7 linked regions of the Rattus norvegicus genome follow. The main gene of each other region encodes a partner of the protein of the gene in region 5 in a complex. Links are inferred from orthologs where the notes say so. Each region holds a gene or a part of one and is shown on either strand. Other genes may lie near its edges.

The links.
Region 1: Tfdp1 (region 5) and Rbl2 share a complex: the UniProt entries of both Homo sapiens proteins name them as parts of the DREAM complex. The link is inferred for Rattus norvegicus from reciprocal best matches to the Homo sapiens genes TFDP1 and RBL2.
Region 2: Tfdp1 (region 5) and Lin52 share a complex: the UniProt entries of both Homo sapiens proteins name them as parts of the DREAM complex. The link is inferred for Rattus norvegicus from reciprocal best matches to the Homo sapiens genes TFDP1 and LIN52.
Region 3: Tfdp1 (region 5) and E2f4 share a complex: the UniProt entries of both Homo sapiens proteins name them as parts of the DREAM complex. The link is inferred for Rattus norvegicus from reciprocal best matches to the Homo sapiens genes TFDP1 and E2F4.
Region 4: the proteins of Tfdp1 (region 5) and E2f5 are in contact, whole or in part, in a crystal structure (PDB 5TUV), measured with the Homo sapiens proteins. The link is inferred for Rattus norvegicus from reciprocal best matches to the Homo sapiens genes TFDP1 and E2F5. Residues at the interface, in NP_009042.1 of Homo sapiens: Glu201, Cys202, Leu205, Glu208, Arg209, Arg212, Leu213, Arg215, Ile216, Lys219, Gln220, Leu223, Leu226, Ile227, Gln230, Phe233, Leu236, Val237, Arg239, Asn240, Arg241, Arg249, Pro253, Ser255, Val256, Ile257, His258, Leu259, Pro260, Phe261; in NP_001942.2 of Homo sapiens: Val126, Arg129, Leu130, Lys134, Glu136, Ile137, Leu140, Glu141, Glu144, Leu147, Asp148, Gln150, Lys151, Leu154, Gln155, Ser157, Ile158, Val161, Met162, Ile166, Asn167, Asn168, Arg169, Phe170, Ser171, Tyr172, Val173, Thr174, His175, Asp177.
Region 6: the proteins of Tfdp1 (region 5) and E2f1 are in contact, whole or in part, in a crystal structure (PDB 2AZE), measured with the Homo sapiens proteins. The link is inferred for Rattus norvegicus from reciprocal best matches to the Homo sapiens genes TFDP1 and E2F1. Residues at the interface, in NP_009042.1 of Homo sapiens: Glu201, Cys202, Leu205, Glu206, Glu208, Arg209, Arg212, Leu213, Arg215, Ile216, Lys219, Gln220, Gln222, Leu223, Leu226, Ile227, Gln229, Gln230, Phe233, Lys234, Leu236, Val237, Arg239, Asn240, Arg241, Glu244, Pro251, Ser255, Val256, Ile257; in NP_005216.1 of Homo sapiens: Arg202, Leu203, Leu206, Thr207, Asp209, Leu210, Leu213, Gln214, Ser216, Glu217, Leu220, Asp221, Leu223, Met224, Ile226, Cys227, Thr228, Gln230, Leu231, Leu234, Asp239, Ser240, Gln241, Arg242, Leu243, Ala244, Tyr245, Val246, Thr247, Cys248.
Region 7: Tfdp1 (region 5) and Mybl1 share a complex: the UniProt entries of both Homo sapiens proteins name them as parts of the DREAM complex. The link is inferred for Rattus norvegicus from reciprocal best matches to the Homo sapiens genes TFDP1 and MYBL1.

The regions. Positions count from the first base shown.
Region 1 is NC_086037.1:32,079,412-32,082,911, reverse strand, and holds part of Rbl2 (retinoblastoma-like protein 2), read left to right. Parts: intron 1-1,087; coding exon 1,088-1,248; intron 1,249-1,353; coding exon 1,354-1,418; intron 1,419-2,574; coding exon 2,575-2,761; intron 2,762-3,500. UniProt on the Homo sapiens protein: Key regulator of entry into cell division. Directly involved in heterochromatin formation by maintaining overall chromatin structure and, in particular, that of constitutive heterochromatin by stabilizing histone methylation.
Region 2 is NC_086024.1:109,828,764-109,833,048, forward strand, and holds the start of Lin52 (protein lin-52 homolog), read left to right. Parts: upstream 1-1,485; 5' UTR 1,486-1,492; coding exon of another isoform or gene 1,493-1,504; coding exon 1,505-1,523; intron 1,524-4,285. Other genes in the region: Aldh6a1 (methylmalonate-semialdehyde/malonate-semialdehyde dehydrogenase [acylating], mitochondrial precursor), read right to left, coding at 868-918.
Region 3 is NC_086037.1:50,087,335-50,089,782, reverse strand, and holds part of E2f4 (transcription factor E2F4), read right to left. Parts: intron 2,094-2,448; coding exon 1,875-2,093; intron 1-1,874. UniProt on the Homo sapiens protein: Transcription activator that binds DNA cooperatively with DP proteins through the E2 recognition site, 5'-TTTC[CG]CGC-3' found in the promoter region of a number of genes whose products are involved in cell cycle regulation or in DNA replication.
Region 4 is NC_086020.1:88,731,344-88,735,608, reverse strand, and holds the start of E2f5 (transcription factor E2F5), read left to right. Parts: upstream 1-1,465; 5' UTR 1,466-1,686; coding exon 1,687-1,899; intron 1,900-4,140; exon of another isoform or gene 4,141-4,211; intron 4,212-4,265.
Region 5 is NC_086034.1:82,900,367-82,904,597, reverse strand, and holds the start of Tfdp1 (transcription factor Dp-1), read left to right. Parts: upstream 1-1,431; 5' UTR 1,432-1,617; exon of another isoform or gene 1,618-2,240; intron 2,241-2,426; 5' UTR 2,427-2,489; coding exon 2,490-2,501; intron 2,502-4,231. UniProt on the Homo sapiens protein: Can stimulate E2F-dependent transcription.
Region 6 is NC_086021.1:163,532,764-163,537,037, reverse strand, and holds the start of E2f1 (transcription factor E2F1), read left to right. Parts: upstream 1-1,474; 5' UTR 1,475-1,627; coding exon 1,628-1,882; intron 1,883-4,274. UniProt on the Homo sapiens protein: Transcription activator that binds DNA cooperatively with DP proteins through the E2 recognition site, 5'-TTTC[CG]CGC-3' found in the promoter region of a number of genes whose products are involved in cell cycle regulation or in DNA replication.
Region 7 is NC_086023.1:14,396,768-14,400,088, forward strand, and holds the end of Mybl1 (myb-related protein A), read left to right. Parts: intron 1-1,656; coding exon 1,657-1,785; 3' UTR 1,786-2,821; downstream 2,822-3,321. UniProt on the Homo sapiens protein: Transcription factor that specifically recognizes the sequence 5'-YAAC[GT]G-3'.

The sequences.
Region 1 (3,500 bases), on a different chromosome or scaffold from region 5:
GTGGGACATGTTGGCCTGAGAGGGAGCTTGTGACAGACTGCTTGGCTGGCGCCAAGTCTAATCTTCAGGACTGTAGACCAAACAAGAGAGCAGAAAAATAAAGTTTTAGATTTCACCAAAGAATTGTTGGTTCTGCACGTTCATCTAATAAAGATGGTGTAGATAATCCAAAATTCAAAAGATGAAACGCTAAATCCTGGCCAAGGGTTTTAGACAGGGAGCCCTTGACCTCTGCCCCATTCTTCTTCATTCTGTCCTCTTACCTTTTGTTCTGGGGACTGAACACATGGTACCCTGTCCTGTGCCACATCTGTGGCTTCCAACTGATATTTTTATTTGTTCTGTTTCTGTTTCCTTTCATTCTCTTTGATTTTTTTAAATGTTCTTATGAAAGAGCACACTATAAATTACTATAAGTATGTCTAATATGATCAAGTCAAAGTTGATCATCTGTGAGCTGTGTCTTTTTAAAAACTGTCACGTTTTAATGTAGGCAGAAGGGGAAGGCCTGGGCTGTACAGTATACATGTACAGGTGAGAGGACGCTTGGGGACTCTGCCCTCTCCTTCACAGGGTGAGTCTTAGAGATCAAACAGGTTGTCAGGCTTGGAAGCAGATGTGTCCACCTGCTGAGCCCTCTCAGCAGACAGAGATGGGTAATGCTTGCCTGTTTGTTTGAGGCAGGGTTTCTGCAGCTCTGCTCGTTGTGGAACTCGCTATGACTCATCTTTTGAGTCGTGATACACTTTCCCTCCACCACAATTTTAAAAGATATTTACTTAATTTATAGTGTATGCAGTCCTTTCTCTATGTGAGATGGGACCTTATGGCTCAGGCCATCCTAATTCATGACAGTCCTCCTGAGCACTGGGCTGTAGGTTGAGGAAGTGTGAGCCTCTTGGTTTGTGTGTATCAGGGATGCTGCATGCCCATCTCCCACTCTATCTCTCGCCATCTTCTGAGTTATATGTAAACTAGTTACACGTTTGATCGTATCCTGAGCAGACTAACATGTGTGTTTCAGTGTATTGAATGCTAGCTAGTTGGTGCTGACCAGTGACTCCATTTTGTGACTTTATACATGTAGGCGTGTCCGAGGACGGCCACCCCAGGGACTCTCACCCGTCCTCTGATCCACCGTGTGTCATTGAGAAGCTCTGCTCCTTACACGACGGCCTAGTGCTGGAGGCAAAGGGGATAAAGCAGCATTTCTGGAAACCCTACATTAGGAAGCTTTTTGAAAAGAAGGTCCGTACATAACGGCACAGCGCTGTTTTCTAACGGCACACGGTTGTTGTTCTCAGGTTAAAGACTTGGCCGCATGTAACCTAGGGACCTTCCTTTTCATCGTAGCTCCTCAGGGGGAAGGAAGAAAATCTCACTGGCTTCCTGGAGCCCGGGAACTTCGCAGAGAGCTTGTGAGTACTTATGCTGCAGTGTTTTTGAGACAGGGTTTCGATCTGCAGTCCTGGCTGTTCTGGAATTTGCTCTGTAGACCAGGTTGGGCTCCAGCTCAGAGATGCACCTGCCTCTGCCTCCCCAGGCCTGGCTTGCTCTGGTAATTCAAGTTCCCTGTGAGGTGACCGAGTGCTCAGTGTTTGTACTGTTCGTACTCGGGACATTTTTAATGCTTTAGGGTAGAACTCATAAAACCCACAACAGGTCTGGAAACTTCTATAAGTGCGTCTTTAAGCTGAGTGAAACTTGTTTTCGTTCTGCTCAAAGTTTTTATTACTCAAGAATTTGGATTATAAATTTCAAAATTAAGAAATGCTCTTGTGGGCTGGAGAGATGGCTCAGAGGTTAGGAGCCCTGACTGCTCTTCCAGAGGACCTGAGTTCAATTCCCAGCAACCACATGGTGGCTCACAACCATCTGTAATGGGATCTGATGCCCTCTGCTGGTGTGTCTGAAGACAGCTGCAGTGTACTCATATATATAAAATAAATAGATATTTTTTCAAAAGAAGACGAAAGAGATTATGCTTTTGCACCTAGCCATCAGGACACACGGCACTTGGGACATGTGGCAGGGTGACTGTGAGGTGGAGGCTATTTCGTCTGAAAAGAAAAAGTTAAGAAAAGGGAAAGAAGACATGTAGTTGGCTCTTTAGAGGTGATAGATGTGGCCATACCTGGTCTTTCGAGGTCCAAGAGCGGCTGAGGAGGGTCCTGCTTCATCTACCAGTTGCATGTCACTCAGGACCACAACTGTCACTCAGGACCACAGCTGTCACTCAGGACCACAGCTGTCACTCAGGACCACAGCTGTCACTCAGGACCACAGCTGTTTCTTCTTCAGTTTAGCATGTCGAATGATTATTAATTATTATTAGTGTAATTATTATCAGCCTATTAGAGGCAGGTTTGCTTAGCTCCTACCTTGACGCACTGTTGAAAATATATTCAGTGTGTGCCCGTCACACAGATTAAAAGCAAGCTACTTCTTCTCTTCAGTTTTTGTAACGAGCAATTGTTCTACAGAAATAAATGCCTTTGAGACATTTACCAGGTCTTGTAGTAAACTGCCGAGTGGTCTGGCACACAAGCTGAAGGCGGTCCTGTTTCTCCACAGTAAGGCTGTTAATAAGGCGTATGAAGAATACGTGTTAGCCACTGGGAGTCTGGATGAGCGGATATTTCTTGGCGAGGATGCGGAGGAGGAAGTTGGAACTCTCTCACGGTGTGTAAGTGCTGCCTCGGGCACAGAGAGTGCCGAACGAACGCAGATGAGAGACATCTTGCAGCAGCATCTTGACAAGGTGGGTCAAGCCAAGCAGACAATAGCTGAGCCTTGTGTGATGTACTGACCATGTTTCCAAGTCCTGGGAGAAATAGGGCTGGGGTGAGAGGAAAACGGGTTTCTGTTGTCTTTTCATAATCCCGTTTGTATTTATGTTTTAAATGTTTAAAAGAAAACTCAGGTTATCGTGCTGATTTATTTTTCATTTAGTACCAACTTTCAAAGGTTTTAGTTAGGTCTGAAAAGAAAACTGACTGTTTATCTAAACAGATGCACCCTGCTGGTAGTCTTTACTTTTGAAAAACTGGGCTGTAGTGTATTCTCTGCATAGTGGTCACGGAGACATTTAGAAAATATTAATTAACCCTAATTACAGCCTGTGGATCTACAGCCAATCTTTAAGAAAATTCTGTTGCTCCCCAGCTCCGAAAAAAAAAAGAACCAAAAAAAAAAAAAAAAAAAAGAAAATTCTGTTGCACTGAAACCAATTTTTAGGCTGATGGAGACCAGTAATTCTGATTTTCACTTCCCTGTATCTGAGAAGCTTTGAACGTGACACTAGCCTTTCTCTTCTCTCTCCTCTCTTCTCCTCTCTCTCCTCTCTTCTCTCTCCTCTCCTCTCCCTCCCTCTCTCCCTCCCTTTCTTTTCTTTCTTAACACAGGGATCTCATAACGCATCTCAGGTAAACCTCAAATTTATAGCAATCATGCCTCAGCTCCCCAAGTGATGTGGTTATAGGCAGGATTCACCACCCTCA
Region 2 (4,285 bases), on a different chromosome or scaffold from region 5:
CTACGATGCAAACACATGGGAAAGGCTATAATCAAAGCCGGGACCACAGGCCTGAGGCTTCTGTAGCTCTACAACTTCCCTTGGGCTGGCTTCTTTCTGTGCGGTTAAAATCGTAGCCTAGAAGAGTGGAGGGTGTGTTGGCACTTGAGAACTGACTCTGGGAACGTGTCTTCCTAGGGTCTCATCTTCTACCACCTGTTTGGGGAATGTTTAGTAGCGTTAGCAAAACAATAACGCCCTTATTTATCTCGAAAGTTTAACTTCGCTGAGAAAGTTTAACTTGGCCCAGAGCTTGGGAAAAAAACACTAAGGGCCAGAATAGTTGGTAAACGCTAGCAAATGGCTGCCTTTGATGTGAAAAGCCAGGGTACATGTCTAGAGATTCAAAGTTTCTTCTCTGACCCTTGTTCCATGTTCCTACCCCCTCTTACCTCACATAGAGGCTGGATGGGGGAAGGGACGCTCCTGGCAAAGGAAAGTATTCTATAAACAGTAACCAAAAGGAGTTTCTGGGGCCCAGAGGTGGCTGGCACAGAGGTGAAAGGGAGTCCGTGGGAGGAACCAATGAGAGAAAGCAAGCCCGCGGGTGATAGCAAAGACTGAGCTGGACTGAAGGTGGGTGGGTCAGAGCTAGAAAAGGAAAGGATCAGGAGTAAAAGTGGGGTGGGCCAGGCGTGACCGTCCGGGGCTGGATTCCCGGGCCAGGCAATACGGAGTGACAGCTCAAACACACGGGTCTGGTGGAACACAAGGGTCTGCAAAGAAGGGTCTGGGCCAAGAAATCTGTCCAGCAGAAGCATGGTTTAGAGACCGGGCGGAAAGGACCCATTTCTAACGTCATGGTCCCTCGTCGCCACCCTCACTCGCCTGCAGGATCCGGGACCGCACTGCTGCTGCTGCCGCCACTGCCGCCGCCATGGCTCACCAGACTCTGCCCAGCTCCCCGCGCCTCCGCTGCCAGTGCCTCCCTAGAAGCTACAGCGCTAAGCTACGCCCCGAACACAACCTAGCCTCTCCATTGGAGGGAAGGGGCACTTTTCATAACCAATCATGTGTCAGGATTCTTGACTCCACCCATCACTCCCAGCCTTGGGGATAGGTGATTGGTCAAAGGCGGAAGCGTTTTCCTCTTCTCTGACTTCAGCCTATTTTTGTTGGCGGAGATAGGGAGACGCCCCCTAGACTTGGTACTGCATATTAAGCACACGGGGAAGACGCCCCCTAACCGAGAACTCCGATTGGCTATAGGTAGGCCCTCAAGGTCCCGCCCCTTTGCTAAGGAAAGTAAATAAAGTCCTTGAAGAATTTTGCCTGAGTTTCACCTTAACTACCACTCGCGGGTAGGGCTGCTGTCTAGGGTGGGACTAGGCAAATATTACCCTATGAGATAGGGAAACGAGACCGGGCTGTGAGTTAAGGATAGGTTACCCCTGTAAGGGGCGTGGCTTGCGGATCCTCGCTTTCCCGCCGACGGTTGGCCACGTCACGTGACATGGGCTGGAAGATGGCGTCTCCCACAGACGGTAAGAGCCGGCTTGGAAATTGTTGGCCTGTAGTCTCATTATTTGCTCCTCTGGGAACTTCCACAGCCTTCACGCTTACGCTTTTTTTCTTGGGCCCCTCTTCCTTCTCTCCCACTTCTCTTCTTTGGGCTGTGTCGGCTTTTCAGCTAGCAGGTGCCTGGTACCAGGTCTCCCCGCTGTGTACTAGGTAGGTGAAGGAGGCCACCAACCGGTGAGACCCTATCCGGGAAAAGGACAGAGGTCGCTCCGGCCCATCGGTGATGCTGAGGGGAAAGGGAGGGAACTTTCTTTTTGAACAGGCCCATTGGAGTGTTGGTTCTGTTCTCAGTAGAGCTGAGACGAGTCTCTCAAGCTCTATAGCTTTGAGTGGTGACTGACATGAGGTCTAGGGTTCATCCCTGTACCAAGCCGGGAGAGAAGGATGCTTGTCCCCTCAGTTCAGGACCGTTGCCTTGGCAGCAGGGAACCGGGGACCTGGTTTCCTTACCCTGATTCCCGAGGGAATGAAAATTAGCCTTGTTAATGTAGTTTCGCACGCTTCTCAACCCTTAAACCATCACTCCCTCTACTTCATGTGTTGTTTCCTTAGACTGAGGGCAGGAACAATTCTGCTTGTATTTCGTCTCAGGTGGTAAATAGGTGTTTTCGTTATACCCGTATGCTTTTGCTCGCGGTTCTGCTTTAGCATTTGGAATTCTCTTCTGTCATTACTCAGTATCTCAGTATATTCCTTGTCTATTAACTTTGCCCGGGCCACACCCAATTATAAATTCCAAGTCTGTCTTATTTCATACGTTTAATCCTAGGTTCTAGAATAATGCCTGTAAAGCATTTGGCCATAAATAAGTTAACGTTCATCCAAAAGTGAAACTGGCCTTGGTATGTGACCCCTAATTTTAGCTACTTGGTAGATTGAGGCAGGAGGATTGTTGCTTCAGGCTTGTCTAGGCTGCAGAATGAATTGTAGGCAAAATGTGTCTCAAATACAAAGTTGGGGTTTAGTTGGCAGTTGTTGGGTTTTGTTTTATTTTATTTTTTAACCCTAGACAAGGTTTCTCTGTGTAGTCCTGGCACTTGCTCTTTATACAAAGCTGGCCTCGAACTCAGAGCTCCTCCTATCTCTGCCTCCCAAATGCTAGAGTTAAAGGCACAAACCACCACCACCCACCTTCAAATAAAAAGTTTTCTTTTAAAAAGTAAGGGAAGAGTGGCTGGAGAGATGGCTCAGCGGTTAAGAGCACTGACTGCTCTTTCAGAGGTCCTGAGTTCAATTTCCAGTAACCACATGGTGGCTCCCAACCATCTGTAATGAAATCTGGTGCCCTCTTCTGGTGTGCGGGGGTACATGCAGGCAGAACAGTGTATAGGTAATAAATCTTTTTAAAAATGTGAGGATACAGGGGGCTGGAGAGATAGCTCTCAGTGGTTAAGAGTACCTGGTGCTTTTGCAAAAGACCTGGATTCTTTTTTTTTTTTTTAAGGTTTATTTATCTAATGTATATGAGTACTTTATACACCGTAGCTGTCCTCAGACACACCAGAAGAGGGCTCCCATTACAGATGGTTGTGAGCCACCATGTAGTTGCTGGGAATTGAACTCAGGACCTCTGGAAGAGCAGCCAGTGCTCTAAACCACTGAGCTATATCTCTCTAGCCCCAAGACCTGGATTCTATTCCCAGTATCTACATGGCAACTCACAACTGTGACTCTGACCTCCATGGACATCAGGTATGCATGTGCTCCACATATATACTGTGCAGACAAACAGTCATACACATAAATAAATCTAAAAATGAAAAATAAAAAGTAGGGATGTAGTTCAGTGGTAGAGAGCTTGCTTATCATGAACAAGGCAATAGGTTCAGTCTTTAGTACTAAAAAGCATGACTAGATTATATTAAAAATAATGTTACCAGATCTCCCTCCTTTCTTCCTTCTTTCCTTTTTTGAGATAGGGTCTGACTGTATGGCCCAGATTGGCTTCAGACTCACCATCTTCTTGCTTTCCTACCTGTGCTTCCAGTATGCTGGGATTAAAAGTGTACCACTCGGTAGGGCACTTGCCTAGCAAGCGCAAGGCCCTGGGTTCGGTCCCCAGCTCTGAAAAAAAGAAAAAAAAGAAAAAAAAATGTACCACTATGCCTGGCCTCTTACTTGATTTCGAAGTTTCAGGTTTAACTGCATTTTAAGTTTTGAACACATTCACATACCTTAAGGAACTGTGTTCATAATAAAAGAGATTCTCTAGCATGTGTGATTTTTTTTTTCCCCCTAAAACATCCTTTTCTTACTAGCAAAAAAAAAAGTGTTGGTAGGATTTTTGTCGGTTTTTTTTGTTTTGTTTTGTTTTGTTTTTTTTAAATTGAGGTTCATCTTGGTGTCTGTGGAGGTCTACTGAGAACAAGACTTCTAAAAGGTAGGGTCTGGAAGGATGTGGTGCAAGGCCAGTTTTGCTAGATGTGTGAGGTCTCTAGAATCAAAGAGAGCATATAGCTCTTCTTCAAATCCAGGGTGGTTTTATCTGAGATGATACTAAATTCGACTAAGGCAGGAGATGTGCTTATGTGTATAAAAAGTTCACACAGTGACTCCCAGAGGCAAAACTAAACAAGCAGAGTAATCTGGGGAGAAGTAAGTGGGGCCTGTAGAAATGGTGGCAGCCATTGTGTAAATGCCAGTGGATGCAGAATTTATGGAATGCTAGACCCTACACAAATCTAAACTAACGAAAAGTAAACAATTCAAAGAACTGAGGTTTGTG
Region 3 (2,448 bases), on a different chromosome or scaffold from region 5:
CCATAGCTAGAGAGATCGTTGATCCTAGGGGAGAACTTAGTACTGTTGCCTTGCTAATTAATATGCTTATCAAACTGCCTCCTAAATTTTCATGCTTACATGTTGCTTAGAGAAAATGGCAGGAGTCAATGCAGAAATTCCTGATAAACTGCTGAGATTAGGTTGAGTGCTCAGCCCAAGGTTCAGGAAATATAACTAAAGAGGGTATACAGAAATATTGTACAGTGGCCTGTGGGTTCTGATCCCAGGCCTCCTACTATGGCAGTCATGGGTAGAACTGAAGAAGAGAGATCACCAAGAGGCCAGTTTGTTGAGGAAGCATAAGTAAAGTCTCACAACAGGCCATTCTGATGTTCTGCTTCCTGAGTCAGAACTCACCAGACATTCCAATCTGTTTCCTTTTTACAGTGTTTTGACGCAGCCATTATAGATGGGGAGGTGGCAAACTTGGCTGTTTGTTTTGGTTCTTTGATTTAAATGACAACATAGAAAAAAAAATTGTACAAACCATAGGATGGGAAGAGTGTTGTGAAATACTGTCTTTTGGATACAACATGGCCATTGTACTGTGAACTCACAAGCATCTATGGTATCTATACAAGACCAAGCCATCCAACTAGCTGGAAAAGAGGCAGTCACTTTTCTTTGGATCTGTGCATACATGGAGTGCTAATTAGAATGAAGAGAACATGAAAATGGAAGAGAAGGTACTAGGAGGGCAAAGGGGGTCATTTTGTAAATGGTCAAAAAGAGCTGATTGTGGCATACATTCTTTAATCCCACACGGCAGGAGGCAGAGGCCAGCCTCGTCTACAGAGTAAGTTCTGGGACAGCTACATAGAAACCCGGTCTTAAAAAGGACAAAACAAAAAACAAAAACAAAAAAAAAAACACCCCCACATTGTATAGATATCTGAAATTACCAGTAGATAAATAAGATATAGATAAAATGTTCTAAAAGATTACTATAAATCTAAAATTAAAATGGTGTATAGTTTTTGGTGTGCTGAAGATGTAAGAGGGATGAGAAGGTACTAGGAGGGCAAAGAGGGTCATTTTGTAAATGGTCAAAATATAGAGAGCTGGCTGTGGCACGCATCTTTTAATCCCATACAGACTTCACAAACTTTACCTAACCCATGTAAGGTGGGTAGCAGAACTGGGATGATACAGAGGTATCTCAAGCCTGTTGGTGATTAGAGCTAGCTGATAAGAGTCCACAAAGAACTTGAAAGGCAAACTGGAAGCAGGATGGTTAAGTTCAGTTGAGGTGTCCACCAGATATGCAAGTCGTCTATGGCAGGTGTATAGGAGACTGGGTAAAAGATCTAGACTATGTAGAGGCCGAAACTCAAAATCAGCTCCCTAGAGCTGAGGCCCACCCCAGATATAAAATGGTAAGTACCAATGTTTAAGGAAGTATCAGATGCCAGTGAGGCAGAAAAGCCAAGAGCTGACAGTGAAGACAGAGGAAAGAGCATCAGAAGAGACCAAGAAAGCACCAGGCCTAGACTCTTAGAAACCTGCTGGGCCAGGTACTACACCAAGAACAGCACAGCTACAGCCCTGTGGTGGAGGATTAGCTGACAGACACGGGTGACCAAGGATTACTTTTTAAAGGCATTCATACGTAGAAAGGAAAACAGAATGGTGAGGTGAGTACGAAGAGCAGCAAATCTCAATTAGTGAGGCTTAGTGATGCTCCAAGTGGTGGCAGGAGGGGGGATGAAGTCCCAGAAACGGGCAAGAGGCACAGGCACTGACCTGGAGATTAGGCATCCTTGTCTGGCTGGCAGAGAGCAGAGGTTAGCAGGAAAGGAACTGCCAGCTCCAAGACTCTCCTTGCTGGCCCCCACCCCTCAGTAAGTACTCACCGCCTGTGGGGTCTGCCTTGATGGGCTCAAAGGAGGTAGAAGGGTTGGGTCCAGATGAACTGCTGCTGCTGCTGCTGCTGCTGCTACTGCTGCTGCTGCTGCTGCTACTATCCAGTAGTGCAGAGGACTGCAGAGGTCGAGTGTCCAGTGCTGTCAGGCCCAGTGGGAGTGAACTGAGTTCACCACTGCCCTTGTTCTCAGTTCCAGGGCTACCACTCACTGCAACCACATCCCCAAACCCAAACACAGAGTCAGGAAATAGACCCTACACCTGCCATAGGCTAGATCCTATGACCAGGATGACCACAGTGCTGGTAGCCAAATCCAAGGAGACTTAGTCACCACTAGTTACCAAGAAGCACTAGAAAACATCATTAAAGATAGAGCACATGTCCTGGAGGAGGGAGACTCATGGGGTTGCCAGGATCCATCAGACACTGTCCAATCTGGGATAAACTACCCTACTAATGCTGCCTATATAGTCAAAGCTTCCTTGTTAGAAAGGGCATATTCAGGCAAGTGAGATCCTCGTGAATTAAGACACTCATGGACAAACCTGACCTGAGTTCAAATC
Region 4 (4,265 bases), on a different chromosome or scaffold from region 5:
TAGCAAGTGCAAGGCCCTGGGTTCGGTCCCCAGCTCTGGGGAAAAAAAAAAAAAAAAAAAAGAAATCAATGTAGTGGTTTCTCTGAAGATTGAGAATCAGTCTACCTCAAGACCAACCTATACCACTCCTGGTACATATCCAAAGAAAATTACAACCTATTACAAGGACATTTGATCACATATGTTCATAGCAGCTTTATTCATAATAGCCAGAAACTGGAAACAACCTGCATGTCCCTCAACCGAACAATGGATTTAAAAATAAGCGGTACATGCAATTTGCTAATGAATTGATGAAACTCAAAAACATCATCCTGAGTGAGATAACCCAAACTCAGAAAGATAAACATGGTACATACTCACTTATAAGTGGATAGTAGCTGTAAAATAAAAGATCATCATGCTATAGTCCAAAGACCCAGAAAGACTAAATAATACGAAGGGCTAAAGGGAGAACATAAGGAAAGGCTCAGTGGAACAGAATTTGCAGGTGGATTGGGGGCAGGTGGGGATTTTAAGTGTTGCAGCTTTGAAGAAAAAATGCTTCCCCTAAAGAAGTTTTGTTCCGGTGTTCTGGAAAATTTTGGTTTTCAGATTTACTAGTTAATGCTGTCCATTTCCCCTCTCGATCCCCCCTCTACTCTTAATTTGGGCATTCTTGCATGTAGGATATGTCTTCATTAATTCCTGCCAAAAAATGTTTGTAGTCACCTACTATTTGTTCAGTGTGAACGATAGTCAACCGGTGCGAAAACCAAGTTGTTTAAGTTTTTTTAAATTATTTTATTTACTTACATTCCAAATGTTGCGCCCCTTCTAAGTACCCCCTCCAAAAGTTCTTCACCCCATCCCCCACTTCCCTTTGTCTCTGAGAGGGTGCTCCCCACCTACCCCCACCCACCTCATGCACCCAAGTTGTTGAAGTTTTTAATCTTGATTCTCAAGTTTGCAAGTAAAAAACAAAATGTGGGAACACATTTTCATTTTCTCCTCTCAGATCTGTGATCTTACTATACATCCGTAGTTTCCTATATCACTAAAGTACAATATGTTGAGAGTGTCCCAATAATACAAGTATTGGGCAAAAATATAACTTTTGTAAAGAATGCTACTTAAAAGCAGGTAAGGCAAAAGTTGGAGTTGGGGGGGGGGGGGGAGGACGGAGTCTACCACCTTCACTTTCAAGGCTCGAGTCCTTCTGTGTGTGCAGAAAAGTCTTTGGAAAGGACTGAAGATCAGAGTCCAAAAGCCTTCGGGGACGCCGCGTTCTTCTATTGATGCGACGAGCCTTAGAATACTTGCACCTGATTTGATGCAAAAGAGACATGCTCGAGAGCTCCAGGCTTAGACTGCATGCTGGTCCTAAGCAGGACTATAGACCGTCCTGAGCACCGCTCGCCCGAGGGAACGCGACTGCCCCGCCCCTCCGCGGAGAGTACGTTACTAGGCAACGCCGCGCGGCGTCACTTCCTGCCATTTAAACTCAGGCCCACCCTCGCGGCACTGGCCGCTCGCTAGAGTCCGCGCGCTCTGTAGTGCGGCGCGTTCTGTGGTACCGCGCGCGAGCTTCGCGGCTCCAGGGACTGGTGAACGCGGGGAGCGCCGCGGGCCGGAGCGGAGTCCGCGCACCTCCTCTGCCGGCGGCCGAGGGGTTCCCGGGCAGCGGACGTCAGGGCCGCGGCGGTGATGGCGGCGGCGGAGCCCACGAGCTCTGCTCAGCCCACGCCGCAGGCCCAGGCCCAGCCGCCGCCGCCGCCGCCGCATGGGGCGCCTTCTTCCCATCAGTCCGCGGCGCTCGCGGGGGGCAGCAGCCGGCACGAGAAGAGCCTGGGGTTGCTCACCACCAAGTTCGTGTCGTTGCTGCAGGAGGCGCAGGACGGCGTCCTGGATCTCAAAGCGGTGAGCGGTGGGCGGGGATGGGGATGGGGAGGGCGAGGCCTGAGGGAGCTGGGTCTAACGCTCACACGCCGGCCGAGACTCGGGATCCGGAGGTACCTAGGACGTGGAGGGGCCGGGGTGGATGCGGGGGCCCCCACCTACCGGCCACCGCGCGGCCCTGGCCACAAAGAAGCGCTCCGAGAGCCCAGGAATTCGCGCTCTGCTCTAGGCTCACTTAGGGTTGGTTTGCTGTTGGAAACTGGTGTCTTAATGGAGCGCTCTGCGGGACTTCGTGCCTGTTTTGAAGAACTTTCATGCCAGTTTTTCAGAATGAAAGAGGGAAAGAGAAAACTTAACCCACCTCCGCTAAAATAGTTTTTAGACGGGGAAATTTTTCATCGATGCTTAGGAAGTGAGATTGGATTTGTTGACTTAATTTAGAATCTTTCTACTTTTTAGACCTGAGATTTGCGATCACACGGAGAGGGGTCCGTTTTGTGACTTTCAGACTAATGGGTGGAATTACTTAGTCAACTTTATCTGGTTTTTATAAGGATGTTTGCTTCGTTCTTTGCTATGGTTCGGATTTTTTCAAACAACAACAACGTGCATTTAAAGCTGTTCAGTCATAGTGATTTAACCGTTCCTGGCAAGACTTGGAAGGATTCCACAGCGCAGGGAGGGGGAAACAATATGGGATCGTGCGAATTAAAATTCAGCCAGTACACGGAGGTTCAGAAAGAGCCAATACTTTACAAATAAATAAATTTGCTAGTTTAAAATCACAGAGGATTTTATGACTCTGTGATTCTCTTATGACTCCTCTACCTGGCTGTCTGAGAAAACTCCTCACAGCATCTAGAGACTTGAGAATCATACCTTACCTTCCTGGCTTGAAACTGTTACCATCCTCAAAACAGTGGCCAAGACATTGGAAATAAGAGTCTGAGCTTGAGAAGCCTGCCTTCCAGAACTCTACTGCTGAGTGTCCTGTTCGTGGCCCAGTGGGGGACGCTGGCTTGTTGGCATTTGGATTCCCCTCCCAACCGCCCACCCTTTTCCTGGGTGTAGATGCCAGTTGGTGTCCGTTCTTACTTGAAAACATCATTTGTGGGACTTTTTTCCACTTTTGAAAATTTCTTGTATTCTCCTCCACTCCGACCTCTTCCTCTACTTAAAAGGGCTTTAATGGACATCTATAGGACTCAAATTGTAATGAATTGAAATGGTATGGTTTCACTGGCATTAATGAAGTCAGCAGAGAAACACCTGATGTTACAAAACACCCATTGAAATCTGCTGTTTAAAGTTAAATACAGCTGTACTGGATGACTGCATGAAAAAAGCCAGAGAATTTTGGTGCTTTCCAAGTAAAAATGGGGTTTGATGGTTTGTCCTGAAACATGCTCAAACCTCAGAAAATAATGAACTCGGCCCCTTCACATGTATGGCAGCAGGTTCTGATATTTAAGGGTCTTTGTTTCTGTTATCTGGATCTGTCCTAAAGATTCAAAGATTTCTGTAGTCATAAGTAAATAATTACTTAAAATAATAAGTAATGACTTACAGAGACCCATGTACCATTCTTTTTGCTAGGTTAAAAAAAGAAACATTTTACCTATAAATACTTCTACTTTTTATGTATATAAATACATATAAAATTTTATGTATCAAAATGACTTACACTGAAGTATTCCTAGTGATGTTTCTCATAATACATCATTGTGAAATATTAAGACATTCTAATAATACATGTTAAAGATTGTCCTACACTTAGAATAAATTTCTAAGTGGAAAATTTAAAACATGCACTTTATCTTTTTAAATAGAGAATCTTTAATTTTGTGAAATCACAAATATAGAAATGTATTACTTTTCTCATCAGATACCCTGAGTGGCCATAAAATATTCAAGACTATAGATGGTAACCCTAATATTCCCACCCGAATGTGTGCCTGTTACACTAAACTTAGGAAAGTTCTGGGTTAGGTCTGCCAAATAAGTTTGAATGTTTGAAACTGGACTGTTACTTTCTGTGCCTTACTGCTGCCTTTCAGAACTAGTAAGTCCTTGAAAATAAACTTAAGTTTTCATGTGTCTCTGTTCTTTATGGATTCCTTTTTTGTAACGAAAGGTGCATAATTTTACTCCCTGAGAGTAAAATAACATGTTAGGCAATGGGCATCTACCTGAAAAGGAGAGAGAGAACACTAATGGAAGATTCTGTAGAAACAGATTAAACTAGTTTTTATTTTTCTGTAGCTTAATCACTGAACTGTTAAGGAGTGTGAGTGTCTGTTGCTCTGAAAATTCCTGTTCTGTTCACTTTGCAGGTGAGTTTCTCTGTTTCATTGGCCATTTTAATGCCATCTTGAACTTTGCAAGCA
Region 5 (4,231 bases):
ACTCTTCAGACTCCCCCTTGCTGCTGTCACTGCTCTGCTGATGCTCTGTGGTTTATCTCTTCATATTACCAGTCTAGCTTGTAAACCGTCACCTGAGAGGAGTTCCTATTGGATGAAAGACTCTCCCAGCTTACTGAAAAAGTTAGCCAAATAGCTTGTTTATATAGTCAGAAATGGGGTGTGGCAAGGATGTTTGCACCAATCACAGCCTTTCTGCTCAGCCATTACAGATGCTTCCCCCTCCACCCCACCCCCACCCCCTCCCATCCTGGGTGAAGATGGTTACTAGAGCTTACTAAAGCTTGTGATGGTAAGAGGTCTGGTGCAAGCTATTGAGATACTCATGCCTTGGGTATTGCCTTCTGGAACGGTAGCTGTGCTTTAGCAATAAGCTGCTGTGGTTACAGTGTTGCTTCCTCAAAGCAGCTGAGGAAGAGTTCTAAACAGGACAGCAGCTTGAGGACTGTTCAGTCAAATGCTAACTCGTCTGACCAAGGAAGCTAGGTAATAGAGAAAGATCTGTTTGGGAGTCAAATTTGGCTTCTCCACCCCTCAGAATAAAATTTGGTCGCTCACATTAACAGTTGTCTGATAGTACTGAACAGCGCTCTGGTCTTTAGTCCCATATGCTTGGGAAAAGTTGGGTCATTTTATCTGAACCACTTGGACTGATTTGCAAGCCACAGTCTATTCTTCTCCCAGGCTCTCCAGCTTTAGTCTTACACATACATACACACACACACACACACACACACACACACACACACACACACACCTGTCTTTCAGGCTGCTCCCTCTGACTGCCCAAGTTCAGGCCCTGTGGCTGTGGAGGTCAATAGTTGAGCAGAGGTGGGGGATCTTGTCTCTGCATTGTCCAATATGCATCCTAACAGCCTTTACTTTGTTCTGTATAAATGTACAAGACTCCTCCCCCTGTGGTGCACATGCAGGTACTTTAAAGCACGCTCAGAACTGGTCATTTTTTTCCCTTGTGTGTACACACTCACCTATTCTTTTCAGTGTGCAGGCATTAAACATAGGTATCCATATTTGTATGCACAGAGGGTTCTCTTCTATATATACGTCCAGGCATGCACACACACGACTCATACTCCATGAATACACACGTGTCTGTATAGCGAGACTATGGATATACACAGGTGTGCACACATCATCCTTTCCCTATGTGTACATGCAGGTATGGCACACACCACAGACTTTTCACCGTTGGCGCGCGTGGCACACACACATACACACAGAGGCAGACACGTGGCCCTCTTCTCCCTGCGCATGCACACAGACATGCATACAGTTGGCCCTTGGTGTACACACACAGAGGCGCGCACACACGTGGCCTCTCTCCGAGCGCACATGGAGGCGCGCGCAGCGCTTTTCAGCGTCGGCGGCCGCCACACGCGCACGCGCGCACAGGTCCCTCCCCTATCCCAGGGCGGGTAGCACCGGCGAGAGGCGCGGGAGATGAGCGGCGGGAGGAGGAGGAGGAGGAGGGCGCCGAAGGCGCGAAAAGGCGCGCAGGCGCGCTGCGCGGAGCGGGCCCGCCGCCGCCCACGTCACCGCGCCGCGCGCACGTCACGCCGGCCCGACGCTCGGCCCAGGGTGAGCCCGCGTCCCGGCGCCGCTGGCTCAGGGCAGGGACCGCCAGGGCCGGACCTCCGGGCCGGCGCCCCCGCGCCCCCGTCGTCCGCCCCGCGCGCCCCGCCGGCCAGCCAGGTGTGGCGGGGGCACCGGCCGGTCGCGGCGGGAGGGCGCGGGCTGGGCGCGCGGCCCCGTTCCCGCCCCAGCCCGGTTCCCGCGTCCGGTCGCATCCCGCCCGCCGCCCAGCCTCAGCCCGGAGTCGGCCTCGACGCGGCGTGGCGTGGGCGGCAGGCAGGGGTCCTGGCCACCCTCCGGCTCTGTCCGCGCCAGCGCGCGAGGCTGGTGGCCGGGCCTAGTGACAGGTGGGGCGGCCGGGCGGCCGGGAGCCCACCTGTCAGAGTGGTCGGCGGCACCTCGGGGTCTTGGGCAGCCCCGGGGCCTGCTGCAGCCCGGGCAGAACCACGCAGTGTCGTGTGCCTAAGTGGGGGGCCTTGTGACTCGGTGGGGCCTGTGGTCAGGCGGGGCCCGCGTGCCCAGGTGGGGTGAGCCTGACGGCTGCGCCTCGCTCCGCCAAGGGGCCGGGGTCTGGCCCCTCTGCGGGTGGGAGCTGCTGGTGCCCGCAGGGAGCATTTCCATTTGGAGAGGTGACTTAAAATCCCTGTGTGGGACCTGCTTGGCTAGCTCTCCTGTTGGGATTGTGCAAGAAAGGCCCCTGCTGCCTGGAGGCCTGCCTCGTGCTGGTGGGGAGATGTTTCCTTTGAAATGCGATGTGCGTTAAACTTCTTTTTTTTTCATTCTCATTCATTACTCGTCCCCTTCCTTTTTACCAGATAAGTCCGGTTTCTTCTGTGGAGGGTACGCAGTTAAAGCCTTGATTTCCTGGATCTGGTAACATGGCAAAAGATGTAAGTATGAGTTCTGCATGCTGCAGACATGTTAGCATAGCTCGCTGCAGTTCTCTCCCTTTATTTGAGAGTGGCCATACCTGCGTGGCAGTGGTTTGCTCAGACATTTTACAGGCAGGAGCTGGGATGGAGGTGAGGGGTGGCCAGTCAGTAGGTGGGTGCCTCCCCTCCGCACAAATGTTCTTTGTCATCTGAAGCCTGGCACGTTTTTTTTTTTTTTTTTCTTTGTGGTTAAGATGATGATGTCTGGATTTTTCTTTAATCTATCTAAACCGCTTGAATACAAAATTTGTGTTTGAATGCATCTCCCAGTTGAAATGAACGTGTGAGGGGGGTATTTTGCTAGTGGGTTTCCACGAAGGAGAGCTGTCAGCATGCAACTTACGATGCATTATGCATGAAACTTAACTTGTTTTATGTAGTATGTAAGACCGTAATTCCACTTTGATGGGTTGAATCCCAACTACTTGTTTGGGCACATTTTTCTCTCAGAAAGATGACGTTTGGTGGTTAATGAAACACGGAAACGCTGGTTGGTTAAGCTTCGTATTTACTACAAAGCTACTGAGCATTTGAAATTTCTTTTTTGAAATGGGTACTGACAGTTAGGCTTTTAGGGGGCAAAAATACAGTCTGTGATTTTGGTCACATACATGTTCGCAGTATTACTTTATAACTCCCTCCAACACTGATCGTGCCTGTGCCAGTGTTTCAGCATTCACTGTCCTTTGACTATTAGATGAGTGTAATTTTCTGTGCAGCCCTGAAAATGCAGGCAGATAATACCACATCAGCTAGACTTGTACCCAAGTGCACTGAAACTGTGGCGCAGGTACCGAGTCTTGTCCTGACTTAGAGGCCCAAGGATTTAGTCATGCCTAGTGGCCCACCTGGATCAGACGGTGTCCGTCTTATGGTCATCAAGCACTGGACCTGCTCTTGGGAGTCGAGTTCCACCCTGAGAGACCGTGTGTAGGTCACCTGAAGTCACAGCTGTATGTGGCGTGGGGCTCGATTTCGTTATGTCTGTTGTTTGCCTGCCTCCACGTCCTGACTCTTCCCCCCGTGTGTGCCTAAGGAGAGACGTGCCGCTCAGTGCGTGCCCACAAAGTAGCTAGGTCTGGTAAACGGTGTGTAAGCAGGGCACTGGCTCCCGTGCCTTCGTTGAGACCCCATGGCCTGGTGTGGTTTCGGGGATCATTGCATCTTCTTCAGTGATCTTCAGTGAGTCAGCATGCTCCAAGTCCTGTCACCTCAGTTTTGCATCATGCACTCCTGTGTGCTGTGTCCCTGGGGAAGGGGTGGGTGGGTGGGTAGACACCATGATGGCAAGTGGTCAGGATGTCCTATCCAGTGGAGAGTGTGAGGCCAGCTGGTTTGGGGTTAGCCATTGTGGTATGGTGAGGCCAGTGCTGTGACTGGGTAAGAGCGCTGCTGCTTTGTCCCTCCACAAGTGCGCACAGACCTGGGCAGAGGCGAAGCGGCTCCCCCTGTTCTCTGGCTGGAAGTGGGGGTTGCAGGGTTGGGCCTTCCCTGTGCTTTTTCAGTAGGATGCAGTATTGGGGTTTGGAAAGGGACTTTGTAACCTGTGCTGAAGGGTAGGAAAGAGGCACCACTGGAGCTGTGTAAGCACTTGATGCTTAAGACGAACTCTGGCTGTAAAGTGCACTGTCGACATGGGGCTCGGAAGGCCATGACGCTGGCGAGAACAGAGGGGCAAAAGTCACGCT
Region 6 (4,274 bases), on a different chromosome or scaffold from region 5:
ACAGCCAGAGCCAGACAATGAGACCATGCCTCGAAAAAACAAAGAAACAAACTACCCCCCCCAAAAAAAACAAAAAAAAAGGGGGGCGGGGGCGGCCTGGGATTGATTCTAAATTGACCAAGGTTGGGTGGTTCAAAGTTAACCGATGCGTGGAAGATAAAGTAGTATGAGGTGATAGTGAAAGTACCCGGGCTTGAGAGCTCCTTGTAGCCTACACTGGACTTGGGGACTTGAATATTGTCAGCTACTCTTTTCTTTTTTTTTTTTTTTTTGGTTTTTTTTTTTTTTTTTTTTTTTTTCCGGAGCTGGGGACCGAACCCAGGGCCTTGAGCTTCCTAGGTAAGGGCTCTACCACTGAGCTAAATCCCCAGCCCCTGTCAGCTACTCTTCTTGTGGTCATCCCCACCCGCAAGGGCAGGAAGTATGTAGGTCTTGTTAAACCTTTCGTGTTTCGATTCCCAGTATTGGCAAGATGCCTGTCAGAGAGGACCACAATGCTGATCAGATGGGCTGACCTGAGCAATCAGAAATGCTGATGGAGGACCTCAGGATTAAAGGATCCCTCCATATGCACCCTCCCCACCCCTGCACCGCCCTCTGTGAGGCCTAACGTGGAGTTACTTAGTTCAATCTCTTCACATTGTAAGCATCTGCTGCCTCTCGGTTCCCTTTTTTCCTTTTCACTAAGTCAGGAGTCAAGGTCTGGGTTGAGTATGGGACAATAAACAGGCTCTCAGGCGTTTGTGATTTTTTTGAGACAGGGTCTCACTGTGTAGTCCTGAATGGCCTGAACTTGGAAAATCCGCCCGCCTCTGCCTCCCAAGTGCTGGGATTAAAGACAGGTGCCATTGTGGACTGACCAAACGAATGAACGATAACTGGGCGTTGGCTACTAAAGGAATTTCAGTAAAATGAGACTGAGATCAAAGCCACACATCCCTACTCATTTCCTGGCACCCCTCTTGGGCTTGGCTTCTGGGTGACAGGGAAGAACCCATGATGTGAACTAATGGAATAAGTGGGTCTTAAGACCGGAGATGTGGCTGAAGTGAACTTTGGAGGTGAGCCTGAGCGTGCAGAAGAAGCAGTTTCTGGACTGTAAACTGAGGGGGTGGAGACCACAGGTTGAGAGTTTAGGGGCTCATGCGGCATGTGGAGACTGCGGGACGTGCAGAACCAAGTACGAAGTTTGTTGCCTTCGCCAGACCCCGCCACCCATCGAGTGGGCGGTGAAGGGGGCGGGGTCCATTGCCCACGCCCCCTGCAGGGCACAGCGAGAGGCAGAAGGGAGAAGGCGCCCGGCACCGCCCGGACAAAGCCTGCGCGCGCCCCGCCCCGCGATTGGCCACCCCGCCCCTGGTCCCACCCTCCGTCGCCTGCCCCGCACGCTGCAACCAATGTCTGCTACCGAAGCCGACTTCGTCACAGCCACGCAGGCCAATGGAGGAGGCGTTCGGCGGCGCGTGGCTCTTTCGCGGCAAAAAGGATTTGGCGCGTAAAAGTGGCCCGGACTTTGCAGGCAGCGGCGGCCGGGGCGGAGCGGGATCGAGCCCTCGCCGCGGCCTGCCGTCATGGGCCCGCGCCGCCGCCGCCGCCTGCCTCCCGGGCCACGCGGGCCGTGAGTGCCATGGCCGTAGCCCCCGCGGGCGGCCAGCACGCGCCGGCGCTGGAGGCCCTGCTCGGGGCGGGCGCGCTGCGGCTGCTCGACTCCTCGCAGATCGTCATCATCTCCACCGCGCCCGATGTCGGCGCCCCGCAGGTCCCCACCGGCCCCGCCGCGCCGCCCGCTGGCCCTCGAGATCCTGACGTGCTGCTCTTCGCAACGCCGCAGGCGCCCCGACCCGCGCCTAGTGCACCGCGCCCGGCTCTCGGCCGCCCGCCGGTACGGACCCTAGGCGCGGGCGGGGGAGGGGCGGGCTGCAGCGCTGGGCGGTGCGGAGTCTGGGCTGGGCCTCGGGGCTCCGCCCCGGGGCGCGCGCTGACTGACTGCCTTGCCCTGTCTGTTTGCTGCGCCTTGCTCTGGGCCTCAGCGTCTTCACCAGAGCGGCAGGTTTATTAATGATAATGGCTCACGTGTATTCAGCTGGTGCTTGCTTATTGCACGCCCAGGCTTTGGCACACTTGAAGTCGGCCAAAATTCTCAACTCTGTTGTGAGCTGGGTGTTGTCACGTGCCCATCTGCCAGAGGGAGGAACTGAGGCCCAGAGACAGGGAAGTGCTTCACGCAGCTGCAGATGGTGGGGCTGGTATTTGAACTGATGGCGGCTGGCTTGCTGCAGAACCTATGGCTAGTTAGTGCGCACAGTTGCTTGATGGAGATGAAAGAGGGTGACTGTTGGAGACATCCTCGAGAGACCCTCCTTCGTGGCTCTGCCAGGTGCAGGCCTGGCCTTCCAGGCCTCTGGGGATAGGCCTCTTGATTGGGAGGCCTTCTCTGCAGGGGCGGGGTGCTGGGCCAGCTGCTGCAACCCTTCCTCTGCCTGTCCTTCCATCTGCCACCCTTCCAGCCCCTGGTTGCCATGGAACTTTATTAATCAGGCGGACAGACCCCTGAGACTCTGGAAGACTGGGTGGGCTGGGCCCCTGAGAAGGGGCCTCCAGTTCCTGGAGAGAGAAGACGTGGGAGGGAGATCCCTGGATAAAGTCTTTTCCTGATCCTAAGTAGCAAGACCAGTTTAGGCTGGGGGCCTAGAAAAGGCAGCGGAAGTGGAGAGTGGAACTTGGATCTAAGCAGGGGCCAGCTCAGCCAGTGGGCCACCAACTTTATTGTAGGGGTGGAGCAAGCAGGAGGTGTTCACAGCAGGGGGCTTGGAGCAAGCGGGAGGGGCCAGACCCAATACCGGAGTAGAAACTGTTCAACTCCTGGTGGGGGTGCGGGTGGCAGCTGGTCCCAGAGGCATCTTAGAGAAGGCCCATACCCCCTTTGGCCCAGTGCCCAGTGCTGCCTTCCTTCCGGAATCACCAAGATGCTAATAACAATAACAATAGCAACCACCATTGTTTTGAGGACGTTTTGGGTGCCAGGCTCTGTGCTAAGCACTTTACCCACTTAACCCTGTGGACAGCCTTACTTTTTCATCCTTCCATAGATGAGGAGGCTGAAGCCCACAAATGATGGAACTTCTTAATCATTCTTCTAGGGAGTGGTATTTCCTGATTGTTAAAGCCCTTTCCTCCCACTGAGGAGGCCGGCCAGTATTTGGTGGGTCAGCTGGCTTGCCTTCCCTCCACTCCACGGGCCTGTACCAGTAGGTAGAAGGTTGGGCCCTGGGCAGATATTCTACATTTGACTAAACATTGCATTCACTCAAGTTGTGGAGTTCGTGAGTCCCCATTATGTGCTAGGTGCAGAGGTACTTAAGGATCCCCTTCCCCCACGGTACTTAAGGCCCAGCAAACATTTTCTGTGGGAGAGGTTGACACCATCCTGGAGCCAAAGGCCAGGAATGCAAATCTGGATTTTGGCCTCTACTGACTTTGCTCTGGAATTTGGGGTGGGGGGGCAGTCCTTGAAATAAGCTACAGGCTTGGCTTCCACCCAGTGAGCACTTGCTGGGTGCTTCCTGTGTACCTCTCTACACCTCTGCAATTCAGACATTCTTCCTGCCCTACCTACCTTTACCTTGTCTGTGTGTGTGTGTGTGTGTGTGTGTGTGTGTGTGTGTGTGTTTATAGATCCTATCGGGGTGTATTGACTAGGGAGAAGCAGAGACAGGAGAATCCACATGTTCAAGGCCAGCCAGGGTTACCTAGAGTGAAACTGTACCTTAAAGGAAGTTGGTCTGGAGAGATGGTTTAGCCATTGAAAGCACTTGCTATTCTATATGACAACTTAAGTTTGATCACAGCCCAACACTGAGGTCACAGATGACCAACTCCAGTTTCGAGGGGTTTGATATTGTCTTCTCCTGTCCTTGGGTACCCATGTTCATATATAGTCATACGGACACAAAGTTCTTTTTAAAAAGAAAACAATTTAAAAAGCAAATTAGTTAAATAAAAATAAATTAAAACACCAACAGCCTATTTTGGTTAACTGACATCTTATAATCCAAGCAGGCAAGAATGAGGATACTGAGTCTTGAGTTCAAAGCCAGCCTGCACTACAAAGACCCTGTTTCAAAATGGTAACAGCAAGAAGCTGATGTTTCCATTATAATGTAGTACTTGTTTACTGTGGACAGTATGTAGTACCATACATTAAGTCTGTAAAAGACAGGCTTGGGGTTGGGGATTTAGCTCAGTGGTAGAGCGCTTGCCTAGCAAGCACAAGG
Region 7 (3,321 bases), on a different chromosome or scaffold from region 5:
AGTTTCTTCAGTGATTTTGTTATTGTTTAGTCAATGATCACTTTAAACTTACTGATCACAGTTATACATTTTATTTTAAAGTTAATTTGACAAGAAAAATAAAAAATGATTATTATGTCACTGCAAGCAGGTTTGGGTTTGAGAGAGGCTCATTCATCAGTGCACACAGCATCTACACAATTGGAGTTGTAGCCAGAGATGTTTTTGGCTAGTTTGTTTGTTTGTTGTTTTGGGTTTTTTGCTCATTTTTATTGTTCTTTTGAGACAGGATCTCACCTCATTATGTAGCTGGACTTGAACATATAGTCCTGCAGCTTCAGCTTCCTAAATCCTGGGGTAGAGACTTTGGCCCTTTGGTGATTCCCTAATTGTGTCTACGTGTGTGTGCGCGTGTGTGTGTGTGTGCACGGGTGTATGTATAAATATTTAAATCCACTTCTGGTAATTCTTCACCTGTAAAATAAAAATATCTAGCCACATTTGTTCTTCTGAAATGGTAAGTAATTGGAAGCATTTCAGCATGATTTTGTTTGTATAATGGCTCCCAATAAACTTTGTGGATTAAAGCTATAATACAAAAAAACTCCTCCTATTCCTGTGTGGCCAGTAAATAGATGAAAATGAAGGCTGGGGAAATTCTTATTCTGTGATTTTAGGAGTTTGCCTGACAGGAAGATTGGAGAAGAAGATTTCTTCTTTATGCCGCACTGTCTGCAGAGTAAACTCCTTGACATTCCAGCGTTCCTTGAGAACGTCTTTGGCAATCAGATACAGTGGCTACTTGTCTGTGTTGAGCTGTGGCTTTCCCAGTGACACAATGCATGCCCTTAGTTGTTCAAAAATGTTTTTAATTCCCAGCGTTTAATTAACTTGGAGCTTCTTGGGAAATTTCATTATGTAGTAGCTCTTACATATACTATAGAAACCTTTATAAGGAAGAAAATAAAGAGGGTGCACTCCTGGTTCACATTTGACCGCATACCTTCCCTTTAAGTCTCTTTTCTTGGAACTGGGGTCCAAACCTGGGCTCCTACATGCTAGACAAATACTCTAGCAATGAGCTGCATCTCCAGCTCCTCTCTTTCAAATGTTTGTAAAAATAGATGACAAGAAGGGATGACTTTCCCATTTGATTTGTGGGGAGTTGTTGGTAACAAAACTATTATACTGTCCTTATAGGCCAGTGAACAATATAATTATAATAATTACATAAAACTGATCATAAATATTTTAGAATCTGTTTAAAAATATAGCATACCATTTAAGATACAGTGTTATAAAAACATTTTGAAGCAATTCCTTATAAAATTCCTAGACAAATAATTGATTTTTAAAAGTCTAGTTGTATGGATTGGTGATGTGGTTTAGTGGATTAAGGTGTTTGTTGCCAATCCTGATGGCCTGAGTTTGGTTCTGCAGCCCACATGGTAGAGTGAGAGGACTAATTCTTGAGAGTTGTCCTTTGACTTCCACATGTGTTGTGTGGCATGATGCACGTGCACGCACACACACATACACATGCACACACACACATACACATGCACACACACACATACACATACATGTACACACACACACACACTCTCTGTAATTATGAAGTATTTTGGGTATTTAATTTTACTAATTTTCACATCACTGTTGATGTTTCCTTTATAGTCAAATTGTGAATGGGAAACAGTGGTATACGGGAAGACAGAAGACCAACTCATCATGACTGAACAAGCAAGAAGATACCTGAGCACTTACACAGCTCCCAGCAGCACATCGAGAGCTCTGATACTCTAACTGTTACTGAAGCTGATGAAAGGCCCCACCCCCTACTGTGCTTATGCTAAATTAGGTTGCAATGAAATTTGTCTCAATTAATTCTTTTAAAGGTTTTAATACATCCCTAAAATGGTTCGCGGTTTTTTCTATATTGAACAGGCAAAAACCTAATAAGCCACTTAACGTAAGGGGTAGGCAAATTTATTATAAATATATTTTTAAGAAATGAGAGTTTTAAAGCTTGTTTTTAAAGAACAAAGTGGGAAAATAAGGATGTTCATGGGTATTCCAAAGTCAATTCTCACGTTAATTTCTTTCCAGGATATATGTCGCTACTTTCTCAAGGCCGTAGTCTGTTATAAACAAGTTAGGTGTGCGTGGCCTCTGAAAGTCTGTGTTTAGGAAGCACAGAGGCTTTATGAAGTACTTTTGCATGTGTGCTGATTTACTTAGAGAAACACAGTGGGAAGGAGCCTCAAGGAAGCTAGAAGTTGCACTACTAATTTTGGTATTTTTCAGAAACAATGAAATTAACTACAGTGTTAAGGATATTTATTTGTGCATAGTACTAAAAAAGCATTGAAAAAAAGGCTTTTTCTTACTAGTAAAGAGTCAGTATTTCTTCATAAGTCTCAGAAGAGCTGAGAATTTTGTTGAATGTATTGTACAGTATGTAGGAGCAAGAAAACTTTGTAAATTGGAAAGATGTCTGTTTTTATAACTTATTTTCATTTTTAAAGCTTAAATGTAGATATTTATATATACAGGGTGTCTAGAAGCCAGTGTTGTTTCTTGCCATTACAGCTAACATAGTAAAGAATAACTTTGACTTTCAAGTATGAAATAGTTAAGTTATAGCTTCAAAGAATACAATATCTATACTGTATGTCACATCTACCTAAATATTGCACTATATCCTTTAAATCATGTTGGTTATAAAGTAGTTCTAAAATGTACTAAATAATAATTTAATATTTTCTTTTTAAATTATATTGGAGGGTCATATAAATTAATCTGGTGATTTGTATATGTGTTTGAAATTTTCATTTTGTTTAAAAAACAATATGGTACCTTGCTCCCTAAAACAGTCTGCACTTAGAAGTTTATTGTATTTACTCAATGTTTCAGAAGTAGAAAATATTATCTTTTATTTATACAAATATTTTGTCCTTTTATAAATGTTTTGTGTTTCCAGGTTACAATAGTTGCTTCAGTTGCCTGTTTAGGTGTTTGCACTTACTTTATCTCTTTTTGAAAGAATGTCTTTGCTTATGTGGTAGAGATTTATGTAATTTTTTGAGACGTATAATGGTGTGCTGTCAACCTAAACACTGACAGGCAGATAGAATTGTACACTGTAGTTTGAATTATTTATAATTGACACACTCTCTCCCTCTCCACTCCTGAAGTATGCTGCTATAGAAAGTAGCAGAGTCGGCTTGCTGCTATGAGAGATGGAAAGAGCAACCACCACTTGCACTGTGTGAAAAGATAAGCAAATGATGGCCAGTTCTCAAGTTAACTAATGGATTCAACGATTCCCAAGCAGGTTCT